2 linked regions of the Drosophila melanogaster genome follow. The protein of the gene in region 1 interacts with the protein of each later gene in a pairwise test. Each region holds a gene or a part of one and is shown in the gene's direction. Other genes may lie near its edges.

Region 1 (3,869 bases):
TTTTATGGCTTTGCCGGACCCAGCTGATGCGCCCTGCTGCTCCAGGAGCTGCTCAATCGGCGCAGCTGAACGTTGCAAGCACTTTGCTTTTATCATGCAAATAACGACGCTGGCGGATGCGAATGCTGACCCAATGCATGTAGCTAGCTTTACGGCAATGGCTTCCTGCTTCTTAAGCTATTAATCAGTGTCAGCTTTTCGAGGGCTCAATCCCGGAAAGATGTTGGCTGGCGTGCATGGTCGCTACGACCATATTAGGCAGCTAAACTGGAGAGCCATAAGGTCAAGTTTTGTGGAGCTGGCGCGAGTGGGAGTGGGTGGGCTCTTACTTTCTGCACGCGGCGCAAGTGACAAACAAACAAGCAAGCTAACACGTCGTTTGTATCATCACTCGCATCGCAGCATCGCCATTTGTATGCCGTCCAAGTGCATTTCCCGCCAAGTGCAGCGCACTCCAATCCCCTCCACCCGCGCAGCCATCCAACCACTCGAAACCACGTCAATATTTGCTTTACTAAAAGTTTTCGATAAATTTCGGTTTCGAGATGCCAGCTTGCGTTCGTTGGCCGGGGGGAGGGGAGCGGATTGCGTTTGATGGAAAATATAATTTACAGTTAATTGTCGTAAGTGGAAGCAGTGAAAGAGTGTTTTTGGCCAAGTGATGAGTACTTTAAATAGCCATAGTTTTCATTTGCTTTCGTTGCCTATATTTACTGTACATATAAATCTTTATAATCTTTAGTTACTAAATTCCAATTTGACTTGGCTAGATATTTTCCAATTGGTTTTCTCATCAGAGCGAAACAGCATTTCTACTTTATTTTTACGTCGTTTTATGTACACCGTGTACACGTGTCAAATTTTAACAGCCAGCTTACCCCTCTCTATTCAGCACAGCTGTTAAGCGCGAATGCAGACTGTTAGTTTACATAGCTCGGTTTCTCGCATGCGATAAATATAACATTTCTATAATAATATGGAATAGAACGCTTCTGTTAAATTTTCCCCTTCGCATGCAAATGTTAATGAAATGTAATGAATGCAATAAAATGTTATTCTCGACATTTTCTCAAATCTGTACAGGAATTGCACATAAAACACGCGTGAAATGTAAATGTAACTGTATATTCCATATTTCATATTTTAGTTTTATTTATTATTTTATTTATAGATGCAAATATGCGAAGTTATAATGTTAGAGTAAAGTTATAAGTTAAGAGAAAAAATTATGTTGTGAATAAATTTGTTTGCCACACTTAAATGCAAAAGTGGCGTGTCTTCCGAATTTTAGCAGCTGTTCTTCAATTCTCACAAGATAATTGTCAATTGATCGGAAAGGCAAGCATACAAAAAAAGTCGAGTGCAAGTCATAAAACTTAGAGCAGTAAATAGTTTCTGGGCCACTTGCCCAGCCCCTCGCACACTTTTCAATTCTGCTGTCACTTTGGACAAACTTTGACTATGCGGATTTCTTTAGGGGGGTGGATCCAGACGACTGGAATTTATGTTTGCTGTCGTCGGGACTTATGCGCTTTCGACTGCTGTTTTTTCCCCAAAGCGAAGTACCGAAATTAAAGTGCCCGTAAATTGGCTAGAACTTTGTTTTCAGTTGGCTGCAGTTGAAGTGAGCAGTTGGTGTGAGCAGATTTCAAATAATTTCCCGTGGATTTGTATCCTTGCAAAAAAGAACTTGTAACCTTTTTTTTGTCTTTGACAACTTTCTAGTCTGTTGAAATTATTTCAATCGTGATGAAAAGTTCAAACAAAAAAATCAAATTTGTAAAAGGGAAATTGGCGCCTTAATTTAAGTTTTTGCAGTGCTGGAAATTACTTGCCGCACCAACAGTTCCATTAAGGTTAGAGTCGTTGCTACACCTTATTCCACGCTCACAGCCCTGATTTCTGAACCGGTTCGTCGATACTTATCGATATCGACGTTTGAATGTTGAAACTTAATAGGCGCTGCCACTTAAGCTACAAAAAATCGATTGTCGATAATCATTTTATATCTGGTAGCACTGCCTTTAGTCACATTCATTTGTATTGAATTCTAGATAATTCCAGATAATAATAAAATTAACCCCGTTTAGTGGGCGAAAGCAATTATAGGGGAATCCTCAACAATTCCCAATTTCCAGTACCAGCTGAAGCAGCAAGATGTCCGTGCGCCACGACTGGTACCAGTCGGAGACCAAGGTGGTCATCACCGTGCTCCTGAAGAACGCCGTCGATAAGAACTATGCTGTGGAGATTACCCAGAAGCGAGTCCACATGACGGCGGATGGCTACGAGTTGGACCTGAAGCTGCTTCATCCCATTGTTGTGGAGCGTTCCTCCTACAAGGCCTTTTCGACCAAAGTGGAAATCACACTGGCTAAGGAGACGGGAATTCGGTGGGAGAATCTGGAGGAGGCCATCGTGGCTGCACCGGTGAAACCCAAGGCCAAGAACTGGGACCAGCTGGTCAGCGAGGAGGAAAAGATCGACGAGAAGGAGGCCAAGGGCGAGGCGGCCCTCACCAACCTGTTCAAGAAAATCTACAGCTCATCCTCGCCCGAGGTCCAAAAGGCCATGAACAAGTCCTTCTCGGAGTCCGGAGGCACCGTGCTCAGCACCAACTGGAATGAGGTGGGCAAAGAAAGAGTCACCGTGAAGCCTCCAAATGGAACCGAGTTCCGCGAGTGGGAGAAGTAGGCGAAATGGCCATACTCCTTTATTTATAGAGTCAGCGAGAGAGATTAACAGAGAATAATTACTATAACGTGTACATTTTGGGGATTGTCGACTTGAATTAGCAAGTACAGAGGAGTATCATAAGGAAAACAGTGGCAATAAACGCATTAAAGGAACTTCAGAAACACAAAAATGTTTATATTTCCTAGAAAAGAACTAGGCTGTAAAATAAATTAATGAATCCACCACATAAACACTCTTTCGAGCACCTCACAACATAAATGTATTTTAATTAATATTTTGTTATATCATAGCACTTTATTTCTGTAACAAGTTTGGTTAAAACACTCGACAGAATAAGATTTGGATAATGTATGTATTTAATTTGTAACGAATAAATTTAAATCAACAGTTTTCAACAACTTTTTTCAATTAGAGCATTTTGAAAACGCACAATAAAGGTGAGCAAGAAACTGTCGTTGAACTCTTGTGCTGATTGTTTTTATTTCATTATTCATTTTATCTCACAACGAACAACTGCTGAATCCACCCCCGCACTCAACCGAAACGTTCTCAGCGAAAACAGCTGATCGGCAGACCGGGTAGCAGATACGTGTAAAAATAAACGCACAATTACTTTTGGCTCGCACAAATTGCTCTGCAATTCCTAAAAACTCCGAAATGTACAAGAATCTGGAGGAGCACAACCGGCTGGTTAACAAATACCTAAAGATATTCTTCGTCGTGTCGCTCTACTGGTGAGTAATGCGTGCGAACCCTCCATCTGTGCGCCGCCTGCAGTTCCATTTCTTCCACAGGTGCACCTCGATATTGACGGTATTCGTAAATAAGCACCTGCTGAGCAGCGATACAGTAAACCTGGGAGCTCCGCTCTTTATGTCCTGGTTCCAATGCGTGGTTTCCACAGTGATATGTTTTGTGGCAAGTCGGCTGAGCAGGAAGTACCCCTCGGTATTTACGTTTCCCGAGGGAAATCCACTGGACATCGACACCTTCCGCAAGATCCTGCCTCTATCTGTGCTCTATACCCTGATGATTGGGGCCAACAACCTGTCGCTGTCCTACGTCACAGTGGCCTTCTACTACATCGGTCGCTCCCTAACAACCGTGTTTAGTGTGGTCCTCACTTACGTGATTCTACGCCAACGAACCAGCTTCAAGTGCCTGCTGTGTTG
Region 2 (3,580 bases), on another chromosome or scaffold:
CAGGTTGCTCCATGGTCTCTCAATGCATAAATCAAATGTACATATTGTAGTTGAAGCTAAACTTAATTTAGTTTCCGGGAGTTCCCAACAAGTTTCGGATATCGAGGGTGGATTTGGAGCACAGATAAGGGGAAAGTAAGAATATTCCTGGTGGTGCGGATGTTTGATTTTTGAATCTGGGTAGGTCTCAAATGTAAGCAGTAGTTTGTATTCAAGTATTTAAGACTGTTACAGTTATTGGTTAAGGCAAGACAGATAAGAATTGTATCATAAGTGTTGACTTTCCATTGTTAACAACTATAATTTCTTAGTGACACTCGTTTTGATTCGCATATCTCGAGGGAACAATAACTTCTTAAGCTTGCCTATAGTAAAACTATAGTATTGTATAGCTAGTCCTGAGCCAGCTGCTATAGCCGTGACCATAGTCATAACTTTGTTTAGCAAACACATCCATTCCCATTCCGAGGCACACATGAAACAATTGAATCGAAAAGAAACCAATCAGTCAACAGGGGTATTCCCCACGTAACCCACCGAGGGCTGCAAAAAACCAGTCAAAAAAAAAAAAAGTAACAATACAAAAATTAATTGATGACGTGCACACACGCATACATACATGAACACTCACACAGCCACACAGATGACGCACCAACACTAATTGGCAGCAGGAACAACGTGGACCACATATGCATGTATGCGAGGATATAGCCTGGAAGTCGATTTGATAACCGTGCACGATATGATGGGCGGCATGGATCCCTTCCGCTTTGGTTATGAAACATCCGAAAAAGGGGACGCTGTAACGGGATTTTGGAGGCGGCTCGGTGAAAGGGTGAAAGGGGCGTGAACACGGCCAAATCGATGCAGACATAGACGAGCAACAATCAATCAATTAAATGCCTGAATGCAGCTCCAAACAAACCGAGCCACGATAACCATAACATGACCCACCGGATAATGTTCGGCATGCAAAAGTGAGATTGACTTTTAGGCAGACGGCAACACTATTAAAGATTTATTCTTGTTTCTCGGCTCGTTCGAATCTCCGATTTTCTCTGGGATAGTTGGCCAATTTATGTGACGGACTGAAATTTTTAAAGCTCTCTGCAACAAACAAAATTGAAATGTTGCACGATGTGGCAAAGAATACATTTTCTGTTAACCATTTCTGTATTGGCAAGTAATTCCAGAAATGGACAACTATTCCAAGCATCCATCTGTTTAATGGGTTAAATGCGAGATAAAATATTTGAAAATTTTAAAGGCAAATATTTGTGTGTGCTAGAATGATTTTTGATTTATAGTATTTGTCAATACGAATTCATTAATTCTAAAACTGGTGTCCAAAAGTACTTAATGGTCATTAAGCCATAAATCGGACCTCCATCAGATGCGCAATTAGTCTGGCCATTTCAGAGAGCTAAGCTATGCTATGACATACTTAATAGAATCATAAATTTTAATCATCTACCGATTAATACTTGTAAAATATAGAGAAAACGTGAATTTCCAGACGAATTCCAAGCTGCCAATCAAATCAATGGTGATAAGAAACAAAATTCTGGGAGACATTCGAACAAGAAATTATTTATTAATTTATGGCATTCGTGCGTTCCTCGGCTCTGGCCACATTGTTCGGCCACGTGCTTTCGGTCCTTTCTCGCTTGAAGCTTATATCGATAACCACAATAGACGCCAACTCGAAACCACGTTTCTCAATCGTCCGTCGAAATTCCGGAGCCAGATCTTTCCAAGCTACTAGATCTTTGCAAGCTAACGCGAAAAAAAACCAGCTTTGCGATGAGTGCGGAACCAAGTCCGGTAATGAGTCCCCAGCAGCAGGCCGAGCGGGAGAAGGTGTACCAGTTGATCATCGAGCTGGCCTATCCTGCCACGCGGGAGACCGCTCTGCTGGAGCTGAGCAAGAACACCTATGCGGACCTGGCCCCCATGCTGTGGAAAAGCGTCGGTACCACCTGCACCCTGCTGCAGGAGATCGTCAACATATACCCCATAATAACGACGCCCGTTTTGAAGGCCAACCAGTCGAACCGCGTGTGCTACGCCCTGACTTTGCTACAGTGCGTCGCCTCGCATCCGGAGACTCGCCCGGCCTTCCTGCGGGACCAGATACCGATGTACTTGTACCCCTTCTTGTCGACCACGTTCAAGAGCAGGCCCTTCGAGCAGCTGCGCCTGACCACGCTGGGCGTGATTAATGCTCTGGCCGAGACCGGTGATACGGAGGTCCTCATCTTCCTGATATGGAGCGAGGTCGTGCCTCACTGTCTGACCAATATGGTCAGGGGATCGAAGCTGACCAAGATCGCGGCCACTTCAATCCTTGAGAAGATACTGCTCGATGAGATGGGTCTGACGTACATTTGCGAGAACCACGATCGCTTCTCGCAGGTGGCCATCACCCTGGGCAAAATGGTCATCCATATGTTGAAGTTTCCATGCCTCCGGGTGCTGAAGCATGTGGTGCGCTGCTATCTACTACTTACGGAAAATGCGCGCGCTCGCAGTGCACTTAGAGTGTGTCTGCCGGATCTGCTGCGTGACGGCACCTTCACGTCGCTCGTGCAACATGACACGTGCACCAAGCAGTGGCTGCAGATGCTGCTCAAGAACCTGCAGACAAACGCCGTCAACCCAATGGGCTCCTCCTAGAGAAGCGCCCAACAACTTTCGTCACTCCACCGTCCATTCAAGCGCCATCGATTAGTGATACCCACTCCTAGTTAACTGCTCGACCGAATAAACATGGCCTACATAATCTACAAATGAAATTATGATATTACTAAAATTGACGGTACAATAAAAAATATCAAATATAAAATATCATAGCTCCTAGCTCATATTTATTAATAGTCACACTAGGCATACATCTTGACCAGCAAGAGACCCAGAACGCTAGACGCGATGGCAATAGTGCTGCTGCTCATCTTTCCGGCCGGATTCTTGTTGCACTTGTCGCCCGAACAGGTGAGACACCAGGTCTTATTGTAGTGAGCATAGGCCGGCTTAAGTGCTAAGCTGCAGGCTCCAACATTTGGATGCACACAGCCATGGAGCTGATGGATCACATCGTTATCTGGCAAGTGGAAAGTAGTTAATAAATCTTTATAGTCCGCTTCTGGGGTCCCCACGCTACTCACTCCAGTTGTACTTCAGAGCCAGGCAATCGAATCGCGTGCTGGTTAGGTTGCCAACATTCTGATGATAGACACCCAGGTAGTAACTAGTCTCATTCGCAGCCGCATTCGTGCAGGTGACTTTCTTGGGACTCTTGCAGTCCTTTGGCGTTACGCAGGTGTAACACTTCAGGGAATCAGCTATAATCCATGTTAAAAACAATCAGTTGATCTCGAATTTCACATTTTACGCAATTGACTCACCAATTTGCACACACACAAAGGCCACAAGTATGCTGACTATTAAAGCTTTCATATACATTTTGGTTTAAATATTTTTACTTCACACTTAACTGTAGTACAACTTTGCAAGATGTCGATTCGCTTTAAACTAAACTCTTTTTAAATGCCAAGAACTCTTTTATACGGCGATTCTCTTC

Evidence for each region.
Region 2: the proteins of Sgt1 (region 1) and Rcd-1r interact in a two-hybrid assay, tested with the Drosophila melanogaster proteins (one large-scale study listed by BioGRID).

Annotation. Positions count from the first base shown.
Region 1 is NT_033777.3:8,303,411-8,307,279, reverse strand, and holds Sgt1 (suppressor-of-G2-allele-of-skp1), read left to right. Parts: upstream 1-2,005; 5' UTR 2,006-2,157; coding exon 2,158-2,694; 3' UTR 2,695-3,090; downstream 3,091-3,869. Other genes in the region: nac (neuronally altered carbohydrate), read left to right, coding at 3,355-3,431, 3,492-3,869.
Region 2 is NT_033779.5:9,012,146-9,015,725, reverse strand, and holds Rcd-1r (Rcd-1 related), read left to right. Parts: upstream 1-1,657; 5' UTR 1,658-1,803; coding exon 1,804-2,676; 3' UTR 2,677-2,841; downstream 2,842-3,580. Other genes in the region: CG13102 (uncharacterized protein), read right to left, coding at 2,883-3,100, 3,165-3,341, 3,405-3,462.